Linked DNA regions of Sus scrofa. The protein of the gene in region 1 interacts with the protein of each later gene in a pairwise test. Links are inferred from orthologs where the notes say so. Each region holds a gene or a part of one and is shown on either strand. Other genes may lie near its edges.

Region 1 (5,677 bases):
TGTATTTGTCTTGTCCATTTTTGATGATATGTATGCAGTACTGGTATACCCTTGGAATACACGATCGTAGGGTAATCTGGTTAATTTCAGCAACTTTTACTTCTAGGATTACCATGTTGTCTTGCTTCATGTGTCGAGTGGAGGACAGAGCTTCATTTATGACCTTGACACTGTCCTGCCATTTCCCTGCCCCTTTGATACGTATGTGGAAGATGCCTTTAAGTCTGATGAGGACATTCATCCGCAGTTTAGAAGGTGAGGAGATTCAAGGTGGATTTATCAACTTTCTGCAATCGGACCTTGATAATAATTAATATTCAGTTGTTTTGTTTGTGTGTTTGTTTTTGCATTGGTTTTATAAACATCAGTTGTCTGGGCTTCACCATTTAGTCGAGGTTTGAGAATGATGTGCTATATAGAAGATTCAAAATGTTTTAAAGTTTTAAATGTTGTCCGTTGTGTAAAAGGTTGGCAGTCTTTTAAAAATTTGTGTGATGAGATCCAAAACATTTTTCTGAAAGTTGTTGTGGGGCTCTCTGTCCTTTTCTTATTTTTGGGGGGAGTGTGGTGGGATGGTGTGGGGTGGGTGAGTAGGATGCCTTATGATGCCACCGTGGAGAGCGCTGTGATGGCAGTCTCTGAAAACTACCCTTTGCCCCTGATACACAGTTGGGAAAGTAAAGGCAGCTAGATATATTTCCATGCCTTTGAAGTTTGGGTTTTCAGCTGATCATTTCTCACGCTGTCTTTAACCGGTATTAAAGCAGCATGTGTATGTTTTTGTATCACAGAGTGTATAAAAAGGCCTGCGTGGTTTTGTTCATGTCATAGAACACGGTCTATGTAAGAGCTGAGTTAGGATTTCAGCTGTGATATAAAATGAATGTTGGTTTGTGTGTAGGAAATTCCGAGTGATCCGTGCAGATTCGTATTTGAAGAACTTTGCTTCTGACCGATCTCACATGAAGGATTCCAGCGGGAACTGGAGAGAACCTCCTCCGTCCTATCCCTGCATCGAGACTGGAGGTGAGCCACGGCCGCCCCCAGGGGGTTCCCGTCACTGTGCAGATGAGCGCGTTCCCTTAACCAGGGTCAGGAAGCACATTGTTCTTTGGGTAAGACCTCTGGAGAGCTAAGGAGGCAAGAGGGAGTGTCGTTCTGTGTATTCATCGGATTTAGGAATCGAGGCACGGAGAGCAGGACTGGAGGGCACCAGAACTCATGGGAGAGGAACGGTGTTAGGGCCCAAACCCTGGCACCATTGCTGGGACATTGGGCTTCGGAAGGTCTGCGTGTTCGAGTCATTTAACAGCGGGACTACAAGCATCTTGCCACGGGAGGGTTTCATGTTATGGGGAGGAAATCCCAGCGCGTCTTTGGAATGTGTGAAATGTCATTTCACTGGCTCTGTAATAAAAGCTGCCTAAGAAGGAGGTGAGAGCTAGCAGGTTTTATCGTCCCACTCATCTCATTTATGTGCTTTTAGGCATCAGTCCAAATAGTAATTCTTCCAGATTTAAGCGGATAAAGGGTTCTTCACCTCTTTCTGTTGCTTGGCACTCACCTGAAGCTGGAAACATTATTTATGATGGGAAGTAATTGGTAGCGTTGCCTTTAATTGGTGAAATCATCCTCTCACATGGATGAGGCTGTGTGAGTCAAACTGTTCTGTAAGCTGTACAGGATGCCGGAAAAATAGGACAGTGGTGTTCGGAATTCAGCAGTGAAGAGAGTAAAAAAAATATTTGGCATGTTTGAGGGGAGTGAAGACTGAAAGAGGATTCAAACTCTGATTTTTGAGGCTCTCTGTGAAAAGCTCTCATAATTTTAAAAATTTATATTGGAATTGATTTTGCCTCACCAACCGGGTTCCCAACCTCAGGGTTAGAATTGGGACAGCTGAGGTCAGGAAGGGGCCTCAGGGATCTTGCCTTCAGTCTCACTCACCAGGCTGACAGGGCCTGTGGCAGCTCTAAGGCAGAGTTTGGTGCGTAGTAGGCCTTCAGGAAACAACACCTTCTCAGCCCCTGTCCTCTGTGAGTCATTTCTTTGGGTTTGATGGCTACTACCCAGTAGGTGCTGTTTTGGGAGAGGCTTCGGTGCCAGCCCCTTTGCATCTTATTTTGGTTTAATCTTCACCACAAGAGGCAGGCTTTGTTTTCCACACTTGCCTGCCATACAGACTGGCGCACAGGCAGGTCAAGCCTGCTTCCCCAGCTGGAAGGCCTCCAAGTCCGGTAGCACCTTGTGATCGGGTGTCAGTTGCCCCCACCCTCGTGTAGCTAGCTCATCAGAGGCCTCCTGAACTTGAGATTGGAGCTCAAAGGAATCTGCTCCAAAGTGTGGGGTAAACACACTGGTTTCTCATGTCGTAATTTACTGTGTGTTCTCTTGTATGGGACATGCATTACTGCAAGCCCTGTCTTTATCAAAGCAGTATATTTGAAATTAGGTTAAGGGGGAATTACTTTCAGCTAGTTAGGGTTTTATTTAAGAAAAAACGGTTAGGAAAGAAAAAATGGTTCAAGAAAACATCACACTTCACCTCAAATATGTTGTTTAGATAGTGTGTCATTTTCCTCTTAGGTCAGTGATGTTCTGTTCATCTTTTTCAGACTTTTTCTGTATGTGCTTCATTTTCAGTAATTATTTTGCTTGTAAATTCATTGATCTTAAATCCTTTTGCGGTGCATTTTTTTTTTTCCATTTTACGTGTTTGTTTTTTCATTTCTAGATGCTCCATTTGGGGCTGATTTACTCTCTCCCCTTTTGGTCTTTGTCGTGCTCATGTTTAACTACTCTTTTGAGTAAATGGAGCCTATTTATAATCGCTGGTCCTTGTCTGCTGATTTCTCTCCTGGTTTTGAGTTGTATTTTCCTGTTTTCTTTGTATGACTCCTAATATTTGGTTGGCTGCTGGATTTTGTGCATTTCACATTGTCAGCTCCTAGATCTTGGGTTACTTTAAGAAACAGTCTTGGATTTGGTTCTGGCCCCACTTAAATTTCTGAGGGTCAGGCGGGTCCTTTCAAGGCTGGCTTGTAGGCCGTTTCCTGCGGGTTCGAGGTGGCCTTTGGCTGCTGCTGATTTAGCTTCCCCACTCTCGAGTGACCTTTCTGTGGATTCTCCCAAATGCCTGAGGGCTGGAGGGGTGTTGTTAGACTGCTTTCTGCTGCTTCTTTCCTGGACTTGTGAGATCAGTCCTTAGCCAAAGACTTGGGGGTAAAGGGCTGAGGCGCCTCTGCAGGTCTCCAGACAGCTCTCTGTGTAGTTCCCGCCTCTCTCACACTGTCCCCAGATCTAGCTGCCCTGGCCCCCTCAACTTAATTTTTTTGTTTTTTTTGGTTGCATGTGCAAGTTCCTGAGCCAGGGATCAAACCTGTGTTACAGTGGCCACCCAAGCCACAGCAGTGACAATGCCGGATCCTTAACCTGCTGAGCCACCAGGGAACTCCAGGATTTATTTTATTTTTCATTTTTTGCTTTTTTAGAGCTGTACCTGTGGCATATGGAGGTTCCCAGGCTAGGGATCAAATTGGAGCTGTCGCTGCCGGCCTATGCCACAGCCACAGCAGCATGGGATCCAAGCTGTATCTGCGACCTACACCACAGCTCATGGCAACACCGGATCCATAACCCATTGAGCAAGGCCATGGATCGAACCCGAACCTCATGGTTCATAGTTGGATTCGTTTTCACTGCGCCAGGACGGGAACTCCCTTTAGAGTCTTTTTGATATGTAGAGATTCGTAGTCCAACTCTTTTTTTTTTTTTTTTTTGGTAATTTATATGTTGGAGAAACTGAGTCTGGGAGAAAATGGTGTGGGTTTTGGTGATTGTATCTCTTTTGTGTTCTCTGAATTCCTATAAATTGGCAGTTGCCTCCAGTAAACTGGCAGTTTGCTTATTTTTACAGGTTTTCATTTAATTTTTTATTTTTGAATAACTTTATTTTTAGCCTACTAGAGAATTGGTTAAAAAATAAAACACTGCAGTTTTTCTATACCTTTTGGTCAGATCCCAGGGGAATCTGAGAAAACCATAGTGTAATTATCTAAACCAAAAAAATAATACAGTTGATACAAAAATATTGCCACAGTGCTCTTAACTTACAGACCTTATATAAGTTTTGTAATTTTTCCCACTAATTTCTTTTTTTTTGGTTTAGAATCTAACCCAGAATATTACATTTATTTGTCATCTCTCCTCACTCTCCTTCAATCTGTGACACTTTTTGTTTTTTCTTTGATAACTTTTATACTTTCAAAGGGTACTGGTCAGTGATTTTTTTTTTTTTTTTGGTCTTTTTAAGGCCATACCCACAACATATGGAAGTTCACAGGCCAGGGGTCGAATTGGAGCCGTAGCTGCCAGCCTACACCATAGCCATAGCCACAGCCAGATCTGAGCCACATCTGCGACCTGCATCGCAGCTTGCTGCCACCCCAGATCCTTAACCCACTGAGCAAAGTCAGGGATCACACCCACATCTTCATGGATACTAGTCGGGTTCTTAACCCACTGAGCCACAACAGGAACTCCAGTGACTTTGTATAGTGCGCCTCAGTTTGGGTCTTTGTGATACTTTGTCATGGTGAGATTGAGGTTATGCATTTGAGACAAGAAACCGCAGAAGTGATATTGACCCCTTGTGAAACGTGAATAATTTTCCCTACTTTTGGTCTCCTGGGTTGTTTTATTGCTGTTAAACCAAAATTGTGTTTTCAGTGGACATTTTGTTCATGTATTCTTTTAGATTCCAAAATGAACCTGAATGATTTTATCAGTATGGATCCTGAGGTGGGATGGGGAGCCGTCTACTCCCTGTCTGAATTTGTACATCGGTTTGGCAGTCAGAACTACTAAACTTGACCTGTGGATGTAGTCCTGTGGAGAAATGCTAGGACCCGAACAGATCCACCCCTTCATCTGGGACAGCGAACATTATGGTACATTTGGTTTGGAATTATGTTTTCCGTTTTATTTCAGTTGAGTTGAAACATAAGTGAACAAAGTAATAAATAGAACCAATTTTTTTTTTGATATGTCAGGTTGAAACTTGATGTAGTGTGTATTTGCTCAGTTATTCCTACAGCTCAGTTGTTAAAACATGTGAAGACTTAAGCCAATAATTGTTTTTGTTATGATAGATGTGTGGATTTCATGTCTGTTTTGGATGTTTCATTTCTCTCCAGCTACACTGTAAGCTCCTTGAGGGCAGGGCTGTGGCCCATTTCTCTGTGAATCTCTAATGCCCATAACGTGTGCCATAAAATGTTTGCTAGTGATTGTGCTCCTGCTTGAAGAGGGCTGACATAGTGAGCTGAATCAGCAATAAGTATTAGTGTTTTGGACCATTATGTTCTTAAAAAAGATTGCAGCCCTCTCAGGCTTAAGTGTTATTTGGCCTCTTTATATACGTTTTTAAATAAAACTGACTTAAAATTAATTTTGTTTTGAAGATTTTGTGTCCCTCTTGATGTTCTGGGATCCTCAAGAATGTCTTATTTGTAGATGGGACCCTTTGCTTTAAAATACATTGATCCATTTTTCTTCTTGAAGATGTCTTAGAAATTTGGCTTTCATCATTTAATTCCAAATAAAATAATGCCTAACGTTCAACCGGCTTACAGCACTAGCTCTCGTTCACACCTTCCACGGTTCTATTGTAAAAGCG
Region 2 (6,177 bases), on another chromosome or scaffold:
TGCACATGGCCATTCCTAGTCCTCTCCTCACTTCCAGGAGTGTACGAGGTAAAAGGCTGGCTGATAGGCCTTTGATTTGTGGTCTGGAGTAACCTGACATTGGCCAGTCCTTTTATGATACGCAAGAAACGGCAAGAACTCAACAGTAGCAATAATATTACACATTTTCCCAGCACACATTCAGTCAAATGTAATTTTGGTCACAGAATGAGACTATAGTGCAGTTTCTACTTCTTTCGTCCACAATTCTTTGGCTATGAGGCTGTTTCTTCTGCTGTCCTCCTTTAAAAAGCACAAAGATTTAAATTTGAGCCTATAAAGAGAAAACCTTAATTCAGATCATAAACAGCACATTATTTTTCTTTGTTTTATAGAAGGTAAACATCAGGAATCCTGACATTGTTTTCTGTGTATATGGTATTGCATTAAATATGTGCATGTAGCTATACACTATTATATATAATAAAAGAATCCTAAGTGATGGTCGTCCCTCCTAATATGCAATCAGCTCAGCAGCCATAAAAAGAAGGTCCATCCCTATGTACACATAGAAGGACGCCCATGATTTACTGGGTGAAAAAAAAAGAAGCCATCATTTGTTTTTGCTCTGAGTGTAATGTGTGTATATGTGTGTGGGAGGAGAGAGTATGTTTATGATGGGAGTGAATGTGTGAAGGTAAGACTGTGAGAGGAGAGGAAAGTGTACCCAGAGCCATTCCTGTGGAAATGAGGGGGGAAGGGGGGGAGTGGCGAGGATATGCGAAGATCTGCATTATCTGTTGTGCAGGTCAAAGCTGTAGAGATGCGTGTGTTGAGAGGAGAAAGGGAGGTACAGATATGGGAAGTGAGGACACACACGTGTGCAAGAAAAATCTCTTGGCACATATACCAATATTAGCCTGTATAAATAAATGTTTTACTTTACGATTGTTGCAAAGGCTGACTATAAATTTAAAGCCTTGTCACTAGGGGAAAACCCCCACTGAACACTTATGTTCATTTAATCACTTCTGGATTTACTAGAATTTCAAAAGATGAACATCTTCAGTCACTGAATCTCTTTACAACCAAATAAACATGCTATTGAGCCATATGTCCCTTTTTAAACTCTTGATATAAAATGGCTGCTGAAAAACTGAAACAATTTTATGCAGATATAATGAGTTATTATTCCTGTGAAACATTTTTAGCTGAAAAAGAATTTGAAAGGGGAGGAAAAAGCATTGCTAGATAACTTCCTGAACCCTATTTCAGGATGTTATAACATTTTATAATAAGTTAATATTCACTATTTTGCCTTCTAACATTTGTAGAAAATATGCAGAAATTGAATATATTAAAAAGTACTGCAATTTAAACTTAGTATGATATAAAGCTTAAAGTAAAATAATTAAGGTTTGGGGGATTTTTTTAGTGATGGGGGAAATCTTCCTGAAAAAATGAAGATACAGAGCTTAATTACACTGAAAATTTTTATATGTTGCAGAAAAATAAGAGAATTTAAAAAATATTTTTATTAATATACATGTATTTGATAACTTCGAATTTAAAACATTTAGAATCAGCATGAACATGGTAAACTACTCTTCAATGACAAAGATTTGAAATGGGGGAATAGATGCTGTAACTGGTTCCTATTAACCTCCCCATGCATTTTATATCTGCATCTTACACAGTGAAAACTTGATTTACACAGCCCTGTAAGCGCAGTATCGTTCTAACACCCCATTTTGTAGTCTCAGAACACTTTTCAATTAAACTGATCTAGATCTTTAAAGATGTACAGTAAGAAATCTGCACTGTAAAGCTGAATAATACCTTATTCACATTTCTTTCCATTAATATAAACCAGGAACAATTTACGGTAGACACAAAAACTATTCACCACAGTTAAGAGTAAACAGTTGACATTTTTTACTGAACAGTTCTTTTGGTATCCAGGCCCTGCACTCATTATACATCTGAACATGCAATTTCATATTTAATTACCTTGATGGGAAGAGTCACGAGACCACATTTTTCACAACCGATGATGGTGCCATGATGATAGCTTGCAATGAGGACTCACGTCCAAGCCTTTCCCTGGCATTGTAGCTAGCATGACCCACGAGCGCTGCAGCAGATCTGGTGCTCCCCTGCACGATTGTGCTAATGACACATGAATACCCAGGCCGGACTCCCGCCCAAAAACAAAAAACACCGCTTAGTCTTTACTAGCAGGAGACACACCTGTAAGACATCACAGAGACAATGAAAGCAGCCGTGATCTAGGTCTGAACTAACGCCCCCTTTCCTGGGACTCAGAAGTGCCCCTCCAGGCCTAACTGCAGGAGGGCGGCCTCAGCCTCCTCCTCCTCTTCCTTGGCCTCCTCCTCGCGGATCTGCACCAGCAACTGGAAGAGGTTGGGGGCCGGCCCTTCAGCAGCCCCGGTCAGCCACAACTGCCTTCGGATGGCTCCGCTGTGATTGGCCCCGGCAATGACCTGCTCCAGGCGGGCCTGGTTCACGTTATCTTTATCTATGGCCCCCTTCTCAACCACCTTCTGCAGCAGAGGCTCCAGACGAATCACATAAGCAGATAATTTTTCTCCCGGGTTCTGGTATGTGTTCAGAAATCTCACCTGCGCATCCCTAGAGCTCTCGACGCTCCCAAACACCTGCTCCAGCGCCTTCAGGCATTCAGCGGTGGTAATCGCAGGGTTGTTGGTCTTGAGGATGCGGATGACATCAGCGGCAGGGCCTCTAAGGCTCTCCATCAACCGCCGCCTCTTTTCTACATCAGGCACCTGCCACTCCTCTATGACCTCATTAGTGTGCTCCAGCCAGGGATCAAATGCCTCCTCCCCTGGCCCCGGAATGTCCCTTCCCGAGAACAACGTCAGCTTCTTGTACCATATGGACTCAACCAGAGGCTGAATAACATTATCCAAAATATAGTTTAGCATCTCTGCCGGCATTTCGGGGCCTGGGGCCGGAGTGGGGTTCTGAAACCCAAGGACACGGGCAACATCTTGCACGGTCCACCCCTCTCTTGCTAGGAAGAGGTGCAACCTTTCTAAAAATTCAGCATCGGAAGTGGGGGGCTTAAAGACTACTTTCCAGACCCCTCCTTTACCTGGCATCTCCCTGGGGATCGCAGCATAATCGACAGCACCAGTGAGCTCTAACAAGGCTGCTTTGGCATTCTCTTCCCTCCAGAACATTCTCCCAAGCACTCGATAGGGCACCTGGGGCATCGCAGCTTGAAAGGTCTCTTCGATTTCGGTCTCATCACAGTTCACAGGGATCCCCCAGACCAGAAGGGCTCTCTGGGAGTTCACATCCATCCCCCTACACCAATCTTCCAGCAGTGTCATCGCCATTTTCCCAACTATCAAGGGCCCCAATTCTACAAATACAATTAGACTGTGGCTCCCTGTGCTCTAAAACTGAAGACAATAGCAGACGCTCCCACCGCCACCTCCCCCCATATGCCCGAGGGAGTCAATCACGTTTAACAAACGACACCAGTGTCCTGCTCTCCTCTTTTCGCTGCCCCTCAAAGCCAGGCCTCCGCGTTCTCGGAACGAAGCCTCGGGGATGCTCAGTCACATGGCCATCGCCATCTTGTGTCTCCGGTCGGGATCCGCAGGCCGGGTCCTCCACTTACAGGAAGGTGTCGCGTCGGAGCGCAGAGGCGAGGAAAAAAGGCGGGCGGCGAAAGCAGGAGCCGCAGGGCTTGATCGCGGGACGTGGCCGCCTCTTCGCAGCCTGGGCGCCAGGCACTCGCTGCTGCTCCCAGAGGGTGCAAGCTTTCGTTGCCAGAGCGGAGCACGCCTCAGACGAGCTAGGAGCCGCTTCTCCGCAGACAAGAACTAGTACCGCCCCCGGAGGGAAAGACTGTCCTAAGGGAAAGACAGCGGCGGCAGCGAGGCCAACCCGAGAGAGCTTCTTCGTGGGCAAACGTATCCCTCTGGGCGGCGAGGACGCCAAGGACCAAGAACACAGGCAGCAGAGGCGCAGGAAAGACGCGGAAGCCAGGCTAGAGGAGGCGCAGGCGCAGTCGCAGGCAGGCCGCGGCAGCCCCGCACGCAGGCGACCGCGGGCCGAGGTGGGCTGGAGCTGCACAGTTGTACCTCGGTCCCACCCGCAGCCAGCCTAGCCTTTACTGCCGCAGTGGAGGGCGGGGCCGGCCTTCGACCCGCCTCGCCCCGCCCCCCGCGGCCCTGCCCGCGCGACCGTAGCCACGGCAACCACCGACGCGAGACGCCGGAGCTCTAGCGGCCTGCAGGGGCGAATGGTTGCCATGGTGGCAGCTCGGGGCCGCGGGCGTTAATTTCCTTTACCGCGCATTTCCTTTTTCGCATTTTCCAGATTTTTTTTTTTCTTAACAAAGCACTGTGTTTAAAAGATAATATAATTCTGGAGTGGATTTAAGATGATATCCGGCCGTCAAGAAAGACTTGTCTACTCGCGTCGCTCGTTCAGAGGCAATGCTGTATAATACCCTGTACCACCTGACTGCACTCTGCACCCTCTAAATTTTATCCCAGTGAGTTGAGACTTCTTCTTGTCTAAAATGTTGTAAAAAGATCTAGATCTCTATGAATAGTAACCCGGCAAACACTAATGTGTTATTTCCCCTGCCCTGGCATCATGGATAAAACAGGCCTTATGGTTCAAAAATGTCAAGTATCCTTTGGAAGCAAACCAAGGCACACTTACAATCCCAGATGGTGAGATAATAAATCTTTCCCCCAAAGGACACAGAAATCAACTCTGAATTTTTAAAACCTTATTTAATAAAAGGTTTAAAGATACAGAAGAACATTCAAAAGTAAATAAGTTACATAGGTACATTACAATCACATCAGCAAGATTTTCTTTAGTGTGTTAATTTTTTTTTTTATAAAAAGCACACAAAAAATAAAATCTTCCGTCTGGTCTATCACAACTGTACAGCAAAAGAGGTAATATTTATATATATGTACACTATTTTAATATGTAACAGTCTTTTAAAAAAGGGTGCCACAGGCAGCAAACACACAAAAGGCAGTGTCTGATTTTTTCAAAATAAAAGGAATATACTTATTTATATGCTATTAAAATATTTGTACAATAATTACAGACTATCAAGGCTGTTCCTGTGCTCTGTCCCCTCCAACAAGGCCTTTGACTAAGAGACAAATGAGGAAAAGGTGAAACAGCTGCAAATTGTTAGTTAGAGGCAAATATTAATACAGCAAAATATGGGGAGGACATACAATTGTTTTATAAAAATATGCATACTTCCTGTAAACCTAAGGAGTTAGGCTTGCCACTGGTAATAAATACCATCTGAGAAAACTGAGCCCCGGTAAAAACATATTTAAACAGCTGAGGCTTGTGTATGTGTTGTATTCCTCCTTCATCTTAACATCTGGCACATGAGAAGAAAGAGGTTAGGTCATTGAGGCAGTTAAATATAGGGGATCCCTTTAGACATAAGCAGCACACGACCTCTGTGCCAGGGGTGGAAGTGGAGTAGCCAAAGGGATAGGTGTGTACCTTAGCTGTGACAGGGGTTGCTGAAGGCATGGAGGACAGTGTCGAAGCCCTGTCTCCTTGGGTGGCTAAGAGACCTCAGAAATGGTCTAGAACACAGGCACTAGGTTAATCTCATGCCCTTAGCTGAGTGTAGCTGGAGGCTGCGAGATGGGTATGTAAGGTGGTGTACAGAGGACATTATAAAGCTGAAGGTGTTTTCACTTAACTTCTTAAAGCAAACAGCTCTGAACAGAAAAGAAAAAAGAAAAAAACAACACGAGCCTGATATGTTCACAGGGAGAAAGCACCATAAAGGGTAAGCCTATGCCAGCTTCTATGGCTGCACCTACTTTATTGGCAGGTCACTTGCCACAATTGCATCTGCCCTCTAAACAGTTTACCTTTCGCATTACATTCTAAATATGAATCCATCCTGGATCGTAAACCCTTTCAAAACATGGTGTCAGTCGGGGTTAATACAGAGAGGTACCATCTTGATCTTTTCCACCTACATTCACCTGGTCTGGTCTCTCTGGGCTTAGAAGAGGAGAATCACTCTAGACAAAGGAGGTTTCTGTTGCCACATGTCCAAAAAAGAGGCCTGAAACGAAACATAATTCAAATAGAAAAAACCTTGGGAAACGTAAGTAGCACTTTGGGGAGAAGCTGCAA

Evidence for each region.
Region 2: the proteins of WDYHV1 (region 1) and PNMA1 interact in binary tests that used the Homo sapiens proteins (3 or more experiments, as listed by UniProt). The two-hybrid records come from large-scale screens. The link is inferred for Sus scrofa from reciprocal best matches to the Homo sapiens genes NTAQ1 and PNMA1.

What each region holds. Positions count from the first base shown.
Region 1 is NC_010446.5:15,980,476-15,986,152, reverse strand, and holds the end of WDYHV1 (protein N-terminal glutamine amidohydrolase), read left to right. Parts: intron 1-106; coding exon 107-255; intron 256-901; coding exon 902-1,026; intron 1,027-4,756; coding exon 4,757-4,866; 3' UTR 4,867-5,449; downstream 5,450-5,677. UniProt on the Homo sapiens protein: Mediates the side-chain deamidation of N-terminal glutamine residues to glutamate, an important step in N-end rule pathway of protein degradation.
Region 2 is NC_010449.5:97,047,656-97,053,832, forward strand, and holds PNMA1 (paraneoplastic antigen Ma1), read right to left. Parts: upstream 4,203-6,177; 5' UTR 3,363-4,202; coding exon 2,301-3,362; 3' UTR 1,495-2,300; downstream 1-1,494.